Linked DNA regions of Arabidopsis thaliana. The protein of the gene in region 3 interacts with the protein of the main gene of each other region in a pairwise test. Each region holds a gene or a part of one and is shown on either strand. Other genes may lie near its edges.

Region 1 (2,959 bases), about 18 Mb from region 3:
GAGGAGGTTATAATAATTATGGGGGTGGTAGTTTAGGAGGTTACCGGAATGAACCACCCCTTGGCTATTCTAGTCGTTTTGGACCCTATGGGAGTGGGTTTGGTGGTGAGGGATATGGCCGTGGAGGAGAAGGAGCCTATTTGGGATATCCTCGTGGAGGAGGGGAAGGCTATGGGGGATATGGTGGGCCTGGTTACGGCGGTGCATATGAATCTGGTGGCCCAGGTGGCAGTTATGAAGGAGCAGGTGGTCCATATGGGAGGGGTTATAGTAGCAGTAGTCGATACCATCCGTATGCAAGGTAGGGTCGAGGTAATAGCAATCAGTTGGAGCTATAGAAGCTTCTCTCACAGGTTCCTCTAGATTGTTCCAATTGCTCTAGGTGCATTCTAGAGTTATCATGTAGCGCCAACATCAGGAAGGGTTGCTAAGGACAGGAAGAGCATCAAAAAGCTTTTATTAGTCATCTTTTAGTTGTGTGTTTACCTAATTTAAGTGTTGTCTTATCTCTATAACTTAGATTGTGTTATGTAGACTTTAGCATATTTGGGCTTGGAGTTTGTTTCTCACTGGCACAAGAATGATTTATCATTTGGTAGTCTTGTTAGATGATCAATTACTCGCTTAGCTTAGTTTTCACAATCATACGAATTAGCTTAAGAAGCTCTGCAAAATGTGCACTCATCTATTCTTTAGAGCTCAAGTTGAATGCTTTATGTGGTCTCTTGTATCTCTGTACATTTTGTTGTGCTGAACAAAGGTTTGACGGCAGTTAGTGCATGTGTAAGTAGGCATATTTTTGTCAGCTGCATACGTAGGTTCTAGCTACAAATTGGAATTGTATGTGTTTGAAAACGTAAAATCAATTATAAATGTTTTTGAAAATCATCTATACAAGCATGGTTATTTGGTTCTTGTTTCCTTATTTTTTCGGGTAAGGGCCACGGATAATTGGTTAGACATTGGTTCTAATAATGTGGGTTTTGTTATCTGTAATTTCTCGTCAAAATGATGTACTGTATCATTAAATGAATATCACTTATTGTACATGCTTTTATAAGTTAATTGAAATCCAAACTCTTTTACGTTTTAAGTGCAAGGATTGAATGATACAAACAGCAAAGAGACAATTCTAAGACAAAGTTTTCAAAAATTTATGACGACGAATGTGTCACACGTACGACACATTAAAAAGAGTTGACAAAAATACATAATACATAAAAGGTCTACCCAATCATAGTTGATAATCTTAATTAGTGATTAAAACGAAGGTGTAAAGTGTAAACATGATTTTAATCTCAATGCTTTAAGGCCGATCTTAGCAGTAGAGTAAAGTGTAAACGAACGTATTGTTTTTACACCTAGAATTTTAAGTTCTGAAATCCATTCTATCTATTTTTGAAATGCAAAAACGATTTTCCAAAATCTCCATATATTTTGTTTGGTCGATTCCAAATCTCTCTATTTAATTGACGATTTTACTGCAAAGAAAACGACAACCTCGGATATTCAGAACCGCAAAGAAAGGACACAAAGGAAAATCACTATTTTTAGATACATAATGTTTACATTAACTTCTCTTTTATAACTCTACAAATCTTTTTTTCTTTCACCAGTTTCACAATTCCGACTATTTTTTAGAGTTTTCTCTATTCGTAAAAAGGTAGAGAAAGAAACACAGAAGAAGGGGAAGGAAAAAGAAAAAACACAAATGGAAGGGAAAGAGGAAGAAGCAAAGAGGAGGATGATGATGAAGATCAAACTTAAGGAGACAGAAGCAGACGTAAGCCAAGACGACATTAAAAGACAAGAAGCTTACAACATGTCTCCACGCGTACGTCGTGGTGGTGGTGGTGGCGGTGGCTCGGTAGGTATGAGCAAGTCATCGAGCGTGAGGCAAAACTGTTTATGCGCACCAACTACACACCCTGGCTCCTTCAGGTGCCGTTACCACCGTCGTAACGCTGGACTCGGGATGTCTCGTGGCACATCCGTTCCCTCTAACCTTTCCATGTTGGCTGGTGGAGACTCTAATTCTCCCAAGTGATGATTAATATATATTATGTGTTTCTTCTCATCAATTTAAAATTCTCGTATGTGTCTGTGTATATACAAAAATGCATAAGTCGAGAAATCTCTGGATATTCACTTTGCTGTTTGCACAAATGAAATAAATTCAAATGATCGTGATTTTTGTTTGCATCGGTTAAAAGTACAAAATGCGCCAAGACCCGCCTAGACGAGAATGCTAGAGAACAAATCATAAACCATATAGTTCAGCCGGCAAGGTTGGATTTGTACAACGTCTATGAGCACCTAGTCGGCGCTACTCGGTCGTTTTAAACATTGTGTTTGGACATATGGAGAAATTGAGTTTCCAAATCTTGTCACTCAATACAAGTCACGTTAGGGAATAGGATTAAGGGAACAAATTATAGTATTACGTTAGCATTGGGAAATGGTAAAATGATATTTTCTTGATTTAGCTTTGTCTATATGTCACCAACACTAGCTCTGTAATAAATTTACATAAAGGTAAGATTAGAGAATCTAAAACAAATGTATCACAGAAGAAATTGTAAAAAATGTGAGACGAGAAAGCAATTGAGGTTCAGGTAGTGGGTCGTGTCCAACTGGTTTGAGATGTACTCGTATTCCCATAGTAAACTTTTTTGGTAGATTCGTCCCAATATGCCTACAAGAGAGATAGTCAAGTGACAATGTTTTAGCAACTGCGTACTCATTTACAAATCAAACGCTAGTGGAATGGTGAAACTTAATACCTGCCATTCCGACGGGAGATTTGCTGAGAGTTTTGTTAGATCAGGTTTTTGCTGCTTTTCGGGGTCTTTCTTCTGAGACTTCTCAGCTCGTTCTCTCTTCCGTTTCACTTTCTCACGCCTAATCACATCATACAACCAGATTTAACTAATTAAATCATGTTTTACTGGGAGAGGAG
Region 2 (6,340 bases), on a different chromosome or scaffold from region 3:
TCCTCTGATTTTTTCTTTGTAATATATTTATATGCCACTAAACTTAAAATAGATGTATATTTTGTCCTTCATATAAGCATATAACAGTCTTAAAAATAAGTGGAACACCTTCTTCTTTTTCATGTCTTATTTTGGAACCTCTTTCTTAACTTTGTAACGAAGGACACCACGATGGAACCTGGGCTGCTTCGAGTGCAGGTGCAGCACCGTAGATGAAACTTTTTAAGTTTGTATGATGTAAAAACAAAATGGGAAACGATTCAAAGAACATGTTATAATGCGAAATAGGTAGATGAGGCCAAAGATTGTTGTTATGTAAAAAGCAAGTCATTGCATCATCATACTTATCATGTGGTCCAACTTATGCCGATTACGAATGGAAGTTAAATTTAAAATAAATTATTAAATAGAACCTAACGAAACTATTTTATATTATAGGTGTATTAGGTTGAATATGGACCTGTTTTAGAATAACGCCCCTTTCTTTCTAGTAGAGTTCAGTCTTCTTTGGAGTTGGTATCGGATCAAATTTTCGTTTAAAAACAATAATGATGTAGCTTAATTCAAATTGTAGTAAATTACTTTCAATTTAATTTTTGTTTTGGTTTTCAATTACTTAGGTTCCGTCTGGATTTGATTTCAATTTTCACAATATATAAAGATAACAGAAATATTTAAAAGCAAATATTGAAGAGTATATGATACTAATTACTAAACACTATGAAGAAATTTAAGACAAACTTACTTTAGTTTACACAAATTGGATTTTCCCTTATGGCCTAAGATAGGTTTCCATTACAGCTGTACAAATACAACCTACACCTGGTCACCTGCCTCTTCCATGATGATGATTTCTCCGACCGAGCGCATCAAATCGTTTTTCAACTGGCTTCATGAGCTCTCAAACATTTTATTCTCTCCCAGAATAGTTTCTTACTCACTGTCTCCGAGTTATTTGAATCCCATGTTGACTCTCAAAATCTTTCCTCATAAATCAATTGCACAAAAATAAGAATCGAACTTGGGCGTCTGTGAAAGAAACCTGTGCATTGCTAAGCCTTTTGAAGACTCATCTCAGCTCAAGCTTGGCTCTGGATTTCTGCAAAGAATGACGCTATCCATTAACATGTATACATATATCAAGCTGCAGCAAAAGGTCATTGATCACATAGCAAAGAGTAGCTAAAAATGATATGTATGAATCACATAACAAGATTACACATCCGGGTGTAAGAATTATACAAAGGTTGGGGGAAATCTTTGAATGAAAAGCACACATACACTTTCATGTCTTGTGTGTGTAAACACAAATGCTTCAACCAACGCCTTCTTGTCCACACACACTTCAGAGAATTTACATAGAAACCATTGCATCTTTCTTCCAGCCAAAGGTGGAGGAGATACAAAGGTGTTAGTGACACCAAGTTCTGATTTCTGCTGTAGTTTCAGAGGTGAATTAAGGGCACGGAGTCACATTAACAGCGCATCATCTCACTCACCATTTCAGGAAAAAGCTACATTTTCTTTGCATCATTTCTCTGGAGACATGAATGACGAAGTCCAACCAGTTCTATTCCCACTCCCATATCCAGAATTTGAGGTTTCGGGTCCGACATTTCTTTTTGAGGTACCCGCAGGAGATAATGAAGTGGATGGCATGTTCATCTGCAATGGGTTTTCAGTAAAATAACAGTCAAGGGAACTCATCTCGAAGATCAATATATTGTTTCATTAATTCATGACAATTGACAAAGCGATACTGGTAAAATCAGTTTTCAGGGAACCATGAAGTGTTCTGAGAGTAATACTATACATGACATGCTAACACAAGCAACGAGTTTGCAGAATAAAACGGTTCTTTGGAAGAGGCAAATGCAGAAATACGTACATTCTTGTGGACAGGGTGATCAAACCCCGGAGTCCTCCCTGCAGCAGTATTATTATTTATCTGTGGGCTTGGACCAATGGCATTAGCCGATCTGACGCGTTCAGAGGCCTCGGCTTCATAAGAAATATTTGGTCCTCCTGCCAAACAGAGCGTCAGAAAACAGAGATTTCAAAATAAACAATTGCAACAACAAGCTATTAATTAGAGCTAACCCCGATGATTGCTTGTGTCCACTGGCATTGCACGAGGATTGCTAGACCCAGGAACTGCCTGCAGTAGAAATGACAATACTTTTTGTTAGTAACAAGAAAGGTGACACAGCAGCAAATTAAGATTGAGAAAACATTGAAAACTATACCTGAGACTGATTTCTAGATTTCTGTGCTTGTTGATACTTTATGATAGTCCAGTCAAATATATAGTCGAACTCATATCCTGCAAAAGAGAACATATAATAGTGAGGTAGGTAGATGATGCCGGTGAACCTTATCAGCTGAGTGAACTATGAATGATGAAGAGATGTCTTTATCCAAAGTACCTACCTTCCCGCGAAAATAAATCACGAAAAAGCCGCTTCAAGAATCCATAATCTGGGCGCTGATCAAATGTCAGTGTATGGCAGTAATGAAAATATGATGCAAACTCCACAGGGTGATTTTTGCATAGCACCTGCAATGGGATATCGATATATACTTAGTCGAATGAGGATTAACAAAAAAAGAATCAATCACACAATAGGGAAACATACCTCAATGGGAGTTGATATCTTCTTCTCACAGATTTTATCATACTTTTGCTTCTTGTCAACAGCCTTAAGACCCTGCCATGGAAGACTAGAAAAGGACGTTCATGAAATGAGGAACACAAAAAACAGTTAAGTAAATCTCTAAAAACAAGGAATAGAAATACCCTGCGAAATAACATAATGTTAACTAGTTTCTTTCAAAAAGACAACACACCTTCCTCTTAGGAAATACAGAAGCACATATCCCAGCGATTCTAGATCATCCCGTCGACTTTGCTCTGTGAAGAGAACCCAAAATATGAGCAAAAGCGATTTACTTTTACATAAGGATAAAGAATGCCAGCATTTCTTACCAATTCCAAGATGTGTATTGCAACTTGCATATCGTGCAGTTCCTGTTAAATTCTTGTTTTCCCTGAATATAGCCGAATAAAGGAAATAAGTTGTATAATGATTAACGTGACCGTAAAACTTAAAAACAGATAGATCATTTACAATCTGTATATTGAACCAAGGCCACAATACCTGTAAGGGATGTGGCGGTTGGTGTTGGCATCCCGATATCTTTTGGCAAGTCCAAAGTCAATTAGATAAACCTGAAAAATGAGACTTATCAATCATACCATACTCTACTTATGGCATCTGATGAAGATAAGAAGTTGCAGAAATATACCTGATTTGCTTTCCGACCTAGGCCCATGAGGAAGTTATCGGGTTTAATATCTCTATGCAGATATCCTTTCGAATGTACAAATTCTATTCTTGTTAGCTGTAACAGCGGGATAAGAAAATCGGAAGCACATTAGATAATCAATGTATAAGTCAACAGATATTATAAATAGCCTAATGAATAGTTGAAAGTCATGCCATACCATTTGATCAGCCAACATCAAGACTGTCTTTGGTGAGAATTTCCTCCCACAGTAGACGAAAAGATCTTCGAGACTTGGACCGAGCAAATCCATCACTAAAGCATTCTCTGTTCCATCAACTCCAAACCATTTTATGCGCGGAATTCCACCTGACACATAACATAAAAATTAGTATTGTACTGCTAATGAATCCCTCCAATGTCCAACAACTGAGAAAAGAGAGGAAAGAGAATCATACTTCCTCCTTCAAGAATTCTATATAGCTTAGCTTCATAGAGAAGTTGAGGATGCTTTGTTTTACTGTTCTCCTGCAAGAGAAAATGATTGAATTAAAAACAAGTGTTAGCTTGAAGAATATATTGCAGCTAAAAAGCACCGAGTTTAAAACCTTGCTCAATTTTAGAGTAAAGCAATTCAAACAAAATCAATTAAGAGACATAGCAGATCCAAATCAAATCTCCAGATTGGATGGATTCAATTCGTCTCAAGGCAAATTGAGCTGGGACTTACGATCTTAACAGCTACGATCTCGAAGGTATCGACGTGCGTAGCTGCGAAAACAACAAACAGAAGAGAAGAGCGTCAATTTCAAATAAAAAAGCAAACTCGGAAAACCAAAGGGACAAGAACAGAGGAGAACACAAAACCTAGAAAAATCTCTCCGAACGAACCACCGCCGATCTTCCGTCCGAGCTTGTACTTGCCGCCGATGATGCGTTCCATGGCAGCTCCAATCAGAACCGAATCTGGATCAAGCGCAAGGATAGAGATAAGGATTTAGGGTTGTTGTTTAGAAGATTGAAATTAGAGGAACTTAAAAACATATATTATTATTTTTGTTTGACTGACATCGGTGGTAGTGACATGGACCCAGGCTTGTTTGAGCCGTAGTAGTGATCCTTCAAAAAAAAATTTGTACACCTAACTACTGCACCATTTTGGGTCCGCCAATCTTTTTTTACCTTATAAACAAACACGAGGGTATTTACGTGATTTTGTAATGTCACGCTGGCACGGTGGATGATTTGATGATTTCCGTTTTTGGGGTCTGCAAAATGATGAAGGTTCGAAAATTTAATGGGTTGGCTGATTTTCGAGTCATAAACTATTTCGATTCTTAGTTTTCACTCCCGGATTTTTGGGCCCTTAAATTTCCACCATCAATTTTCATATTCCTCAAAATTACATCATCTACTTTCGAATTCATGATTAAACATACATTTTCAATTGAACCATTCATTTAACCGGGATTAACCACAAATCCGCGTTTACTGTACCGCGATTGTGATTAACCCGACTAATACCCAGACCCGTTAAGAAAACGACGTCGTTTTCATTCTTCTTCTTTAACTCTCAAATCGATTTGGTAGTCCTCTTCTTTTGACTTTCATCTCTGTCTCCATCGTCTTCTAGATTGACGTCTCCATCAGACGCTATGTCACCATCGTCTTCTCTATTTTCCTCTCCATCAGAAGCTCTGTCTCCATCTATCCCGACGTCCTCTCCCTCGATTCTGGTGGCTTCGTCCTCCTCGACTCCGCTATCACCACTATCACTTCCATCGTCGGCTTCAATGTCACTCTCTGGAGGTTCGAAATCGGGGTCATCTGGATCGCTTTGGTAAATCAATCTTTCCTCCCACCAATTCTTCATTTCTCCCTATTCGAAACCCAAATCGAGACCCAAAAATTCGAACCGAAGAAGAAAACCCCAAATCCCCTTTTGTCTTTCTCTCTCAAGAACCCTAATTTCACAGTGTCGAGATTAAAGAAGAACGACTAAATCGATTTGAGAGTTAAAGAAGAAGAATGAAAACGACGTCGTTTTCTTTCTCTTTTTGATGAGTTAAACGAAATGAAAACGACGTCGTTTTCTTAACGGGTCTGGGTATTAGTTGGGTTAATCGCAATCGCGGTACAGTAAACGCGGATTTGTGGTTAATCCCGGTTAAATGAATGGTTCAATTGGAAATGTATGTTTAAGCATGAATCCAAAAATAGATGATGTAATTTTGGGAATATGAAAGTTGATGGTGGAAATTTAAAGGCCCAAAAGTCCGGGTGTGAAAGCTGAGAATCGAAATAGTTTATGGCTCGAAAATCAGCCAACCCAAATTTAATCCACTAACTAGTTCTCTACCAAATCGATCAATTCTAGGTGTTTGTATTTCAATATTGAGACTACAATTTTATACGTTTTTTTTTTTTAATAATAGCAATTGAAAATGCATGTTTGGATCAAGTCAAGCTTTTTGATATAATTTTTTTCAATGCACAAAATCGAGTAAGAAAAATCAAACACAGAATACCATTAAACTGAATAGGAAATTCAGAGAAAAAAAAAGGGGGAAGTGTTTCTCGGAGCATTCCAGAAGCTAGCCATAGCTTATCCTTTTACGTTCTCGTCAGCTGCACATTAGCTTGATGGTGACATGTCCCTGCCACAAGCAACTCTTGACTCAAGCCTTTGAAGGCATCTCTGCTGAAGCTGCTCATGCTTTGCTCTTGATTTTCTGCAAACAATGTTGATGACACAGCAAACCCAGGTTATGCCCCAACACAGGGAACTACGTACAGAAATACGAACAAAGTTTTATAGAAGAAAACTTGGGAGAATGAATCACAAGAACCAAATTACACGCCCGGTTGCAAGATTTTATACAAAGGTTGAAGTCAGTCATTTGTGAGAATCTTGAAGGAAAGCAAACATAATCTTCATGCCTTTTGTCAAACAGTAAGCTGTTCATGGAAAAACTCCATTCAGATCTTCAACCTCAGTCTAGAGCTTTTCACTGCAGAAATCACAGTTTAGACCCAAAGGCACACATAATCTTGC
Region 3 (4,716 bases):
GAATTTCCGTGAAACCGAATCACGAGTATGTATGCAAGGTAACACACGGTCGATGTGTCCCTCCACTAGCCAGTCATCAACCTATAGAATGTATAGAATGAGTTGATTAAATTACGCAAATTGGTCATTTTTTAATCCTAAAATATAACAACAAAGCAGAAAGAAATACTAGTTTAATAGAATACATGTTGTTAGACATATTACAAGGTGGTGGAAATTCACATGGAGGTTTCTTGTTTGTCTTGGAGGAAAAAAAACATGTCTCCCATTATTACAATGTCCAATTACAAAGATTTTTGTTTTTATATTATTTTGGCTTAAAAAATAGAAATATGTTTAGGGCAATCACATAAGCCATGTCTCCCTTCCATTCACACACAAACTACCAAAAGTTCCAACTTGTCTTCGCAATCCAGCTCCACCTCTTTTCTTTTTAATCTCCTTTTGGTATCCTCTATTCTATTACCGCCACCAATAAACGGCCACTTAAGTATTTCAAGTTTGTCAAAGAAGTGAAAAAAAGAAGAAGAAATGATATAGATGATTTTAGAAAAGAATGGTGGAATAAAACGATTTGATTATCGCAAACACGTGTAAACATCAACTAACATAGGCTAAAGATTTGTCATAATTTTAGTTTTGACCGTGTCTACTTGTCGTTCAAAATTAAACTTGATTAGCAAATGCAAGATTTTATAGTCAATATGTCATTTATTAGTTAGTTTATAAAAAATCTAGACTAGAGCCATGAGATCTTCTCCAGAGTTCATGCAATTTCAACCGTTAGATAAAAAAAAAAAACAGAGTGTGTTAATAGAAAGCAAGGGTAATTATGGAAAACAATGATTAACAATAAAGCCATCTGTATCAAATTCGCTTTTTGCTCTGAAACCTCGGTATATGTTTTTGATTTTTTTAATAGTACTGTCTTTCAGATTGATCGTTATCTAACGCGCCTCAACAGTTCTGGACTATTGAATTACTTACTGTAAGACAATCAACTAATAACTGACTCTTTTAGGTTTTTGGGTTTCGACAATTCAATTTATTTTCTTTCTTTTCTTCATACTCCTATTACTTATTTAGTTTGATCTAATGAATTATACACTATATGATCCCATATTCTTAATAAATAAGTAAATAATTTTGACTATTTTAAGTATTTTTACGATTTCGCTCTCAAAATGTTTTTTACCTGTAATTTCAAAAATAAATTTGACACATCCTTTTTTTTTTGTCAAACATTTGACACATCCTTTAAGTAAACAAATCTATTGGTTTGAAGAAAAAAGAACAAAAATCTTTTGGTTCATTTTCATTTGACCCTTGACTTAGTTTTTATACATATATAATGAAGTATATTTTTACTATCATACTATTTAATATAAAACATGTTACTGCACATATATATTAAATCACCCAATTGCTATTTCACTAAATAACAAATTATTTTACAAGATGCAAGTTTATTTTATAAATCGAACAAAATTTACGAAAAATGTAGAATAGTAATTTTGTCGATATGCATAAAATTTATTGGTTTCCTTGTTTTTTTTTTCCTCAATCCAGTGTTTTCCTTATTTATTATGTTGTCATCATAGTAATTTAGTCAATTTATGATTAAGGCTAAATTTATTCGATTAATGACACTTTGATTTCGATTTTCATGGCTTAAACTTATATAATCAATGATCTCTTGGAGAGTAAGAGTGACGCGCCGTAAGTGCGAGTAGGGTTAGAAACGAGGGGATATAAAATGAGTACAGATGTAGATAAGTAAATCTACAGACACAAGGCACCACACACACAGCAAAAACCAAATCCTTTACTTAAAAAAAAAAAAAAGAGAGCATTTTTTATGAAGATCATCACTTTGGAATGTTGTTGGAATCATCCAGAGTCAATATACATAAGCAACGAGAAGAAAGATTGTTATTAATACCGAGTGTGAGATAATGTGGGCGCCAATTTCAGTTTCAAGCTTTCATCTTCGTCTTCCTCTTTAAGTTCTGAGATCTAGGGTTTTTCTGGGTTTCTTTGTTCTCACTCTTAAATTCTCTTTCTGACTCTGTAAGATTGGTCATGCCCCTGCCCTTTGAGCAATTTCAAGGGAAGGGGGTTCTGGGTTTCTTAGATTCTTCTTCTTCTCCGGGATACAAAATCTGGGCTAATCCAGAGAAGCTCCATGGACGAGTAGAAGAAGATCTCTGCTTTGTTGTCAACAATGGTGGTTTCTCGGAGCCGACGTCTGTTTTAGACTCTGTTAGAAGTCCAAGCCCTTTCGTCTCTTCTTCAACCACCACGCTGTCTTCTTCTCACGGTGGTCCCAGCGGCGGCGGCGCTGCTGCTGCTACTTTTTCCGGCGCCGATGGGAAATGCGACCAAATGGGTTTCGAGGATCTCGATGGTGTTCTCTCCGGTGGCTCGCCGGGACAAGAACAGAGTATTTTTAGATTAATCATGGCTGGCGATGTAGTGGATCCGGGTTCGGAGTTTGTGGGTTTCGACATCGGTTCTGGATCCGACCCGGTTATTGATAATCCTAATCCACTCTTTGGATATGGCTTCCCTTTTCAAAACGCACCGGAAGAAGAAAAGTTTCAGATTTCAATAAACCCAAATCCGGGTTTCTTCTCGGATCCTCCGTCGTCTCCTCCTGCGAAACGGCTCAATTCGGGTCAACCCGGATCTCAACACCTCCAGTGGGTTTTCCCGTTCTCGGATCCGGGTCACGAATCTCACGACCCGTTTCTCACACCGCCAAAGATAGCCGGAGAAGACCAAAACGACCAAGACCAGTCAGCGGTAATCATCGACCAGCTATTCTCTGCGGCGGCGGAGCTCACCACAAACGGCGGAGATAACAATCCCGTTCTCGCGCAAGGGATATTGGCGCGGCTCAATCACAACCTTAACAACAACAACGACGACACTAACAACAATCCTAAACCTCCGTTCCACAGAGCAGCTTCGTATATAACAGAAGCTCTTCACTCTCTCCTTCAAGACTCATCATTATCACCACCGTCTCTCTCACCTCCTCAAAACCTAATCTTTCGGATCGCAGCTTACAGAGCTTTCTCAGAAACGTCACCGTTTCTTCAATTCGTCAACTTCACAGCAAACCAAACGATTCTCGAGTCATTCGAAGGGTTTGATCGGATCCACATTGTCGATTTCGATATCGGTTATGGAGGTCAATGGGCGTCTCTGATTCAAGAGCTCGCCGGAAAAAGAAACAGATCTTCATCAGCTCCGTCGCTAAAGATTACAGCTTTCGCTTCTCCTTCAACTGTCTCCGACGAATTCGAGCTCCGATTCACTGAAGAAAATCTCAGAAGCTTCGCCGGCGAAACAGGTGTCTCCTTCGAAATCGAGCTCTTAAACATGGAGATTCTCTTGAATCCAACTTATTGGCCACTGTCTTTATTCCGATCATCGGAGAAAGAAGCAATCGCTGTGAATCTCCCAATCAGCTCCATGGTCTCCGGTTACCTCCCATTGATACTTCGTTTCCTCAAGCAAATCTCACCAAACGTCGTCGTTTGCTCAGACAGAAGCTGCGACCGTAACAACGACGCGCCGTTCCCTAACGGTGTGATTAACGCGCTTCAGTACTACACATCTCTGCTCGAGTCTCTCGACTCTGGGAATCTGAATAATGCGGAAGCTGCTACGAGTATTGAGAGGTTTTGTGTGCAACCGTCGATACAGAAACTGTTGACGAATCGTTACCGTTGGATGGAGAGATCACCGCCGTGGAGAAGCTTATTTGGGCAATGTGGGTTTACTCCTGTGACGCTGAGTCAGACGGCGGAGACACAAGCGGAGTATTTGTTGCAGAGGAATCCAATGAGAGGGTTTCACTTGGAGAAGAGACAGTCTTCGTCGCCTTCACTTGTCTTGTGTTGGCAGAGGAAAGAACTTGTTACTGTCTCAGCTTGGAAATGTTAAGACGAAAAAGGAGGATATTTTCACGGTTTAATTTTCTTTTTGTAGCTTTTCAATTTGGGTTAGATCACGTTTTAATATGTTTGATTGTGATGTTAACCAATCAAATGATATATATATAATCTCCTTATGTTAGTCTTTCTTTTTTTTCCTTTTTATATTTCTGCATACTGAGATATGGATCCTTTAATACTTCATTTTTTAAGAGACAGAAGATTTGACATGTAATATGTTATAGGTACTAAAGATTAAGAGGTTTCTCAAAAAAAAAAAAAAAAAACTAAAACTTAAGCTGCCTTACACAAATTTCATTTTTCTCTTGGAAGGTCGACTATACTAAATTCGTAGTTCTTTATTCAAATACTAAGCATAGTAGTAATCCTTAACCTTAATCTAACAAACGAACACTGATAAATAAGAGATTTGTGGAGAAAGCTCTAAACCAATGCAAAAAAACTCAATCAGATCCTCAAAATGTCTTGGAATTCGAACGTGTAACCAAGAGGGTAACCAGGAGGGTCTTTGGCAGTAGCAGCGTTTATAAGTTTAGTCTTGCATTTTGGAAGTTTTTCCATGAAGATAGTAATTCCACAAGCTCTTAATAACCGGATCGGTCTTTTGAAATCGATGTCCCCCGTGATGACCATGATGTTGCAAGGAGTTTGGAAATTGGATGTGATGATATTGGCTTGTGCTGGCAAATCATCCGGCGATGTCGTGTTTACTCTCATACCTAACTTTAAAAACAAAACAAAAAGATGTAAA

What was found.
Region 1: the proteins of HAM2 (region 3) and AT3G13227 interact in a two-hybrid assay, tested with the Arabidopsis thaliana proteins (one large-scale study listed by BioGRID).
Region 2: the proteins of HAM2 (region 3) and ckl3 interact in a two-hybrid assay, tested with the Arabidopsis thaliana proteins (one large-scale study listed by BioGRID).

Annotation. Positions count from the first base shown.
Region 1 is NC_003074.8:4,256,317-4,259,275, forward strand, and holds AT3G13227 (serine-rich protein-like protein), read left to right. Parts: upstream 1-1,565; 5' UTR 1,566-1,711; coding exon 1,712-2,047; 3' UTR 2,048-2,332; downstream 2,333-2,959. Other genes in the region: AT3G13224 (RNA-binding (RRM/RBD/RNP motifs) family protein), read left to right, coding at 1-305; AT3G13225 (WW domain-containing protein), read right to left, coding at 2,612-2,695, 2,784-2,901.
Region 2 is NC_003075.7:14,249,239-14,255,578, reverse strand, and holds ckl3 (casein kinase I-like 3), read right to left. Parts: upstream 4,445-6,340; 5' UTR 4,229-4,444; coding exon 4,153-4,228; intron 4,057-4,152; coding exon 4,016-4,056; intron 3,814-4,015; coding exon 3,744-3,813; intron 3,655-3,743; coding exon 3,506-3,654; intron 3,403-3,505; coding exon 3,307-3,402; intron 3,230-3,306; coding exon 3,159-3,229; intron 3,049-3,158; coding exon 2,987-3,048; intron 2,912-2,986; coding exon 2,848-2,911; intron 2,722-2,847; coding exon 2,637-2,721; intron 2,558-2,636; coding exon 2,431-2,557; intron 2,324-2,430; coding exon 2,247-2,323; intron 2,159-2,246; coding exon 2,101-2,158; intron 2,026-2,100; coding exon 1,889-2,025; intron 1,666-1,888; coding exon 1,531-1,665; 3' UTR 633-1,530; downstream 1-632. Other genes in the region: AT4G28870 (mutator transposase MUDRA protein), read right to left, coding at 4,859-5,158. UniProt on the Arabidopsis thaliana protein: Protein kinase involved in blue light responses (e.g. hypocotyl elongation and flowering) by phosphorylating CRY2 to reduce its stability.
Region 3 is NC_003074.8:22,409,734-22,414,449, reverse strand, and holds HAM2 (GRAS family transcription factor), read left to right. Parts: upstream 1-1,786; 5' UTR 1,787-2,082; coding exon 2,083-3,954; 3' UTR 3,955-4,210; downstream 4,211-4,716.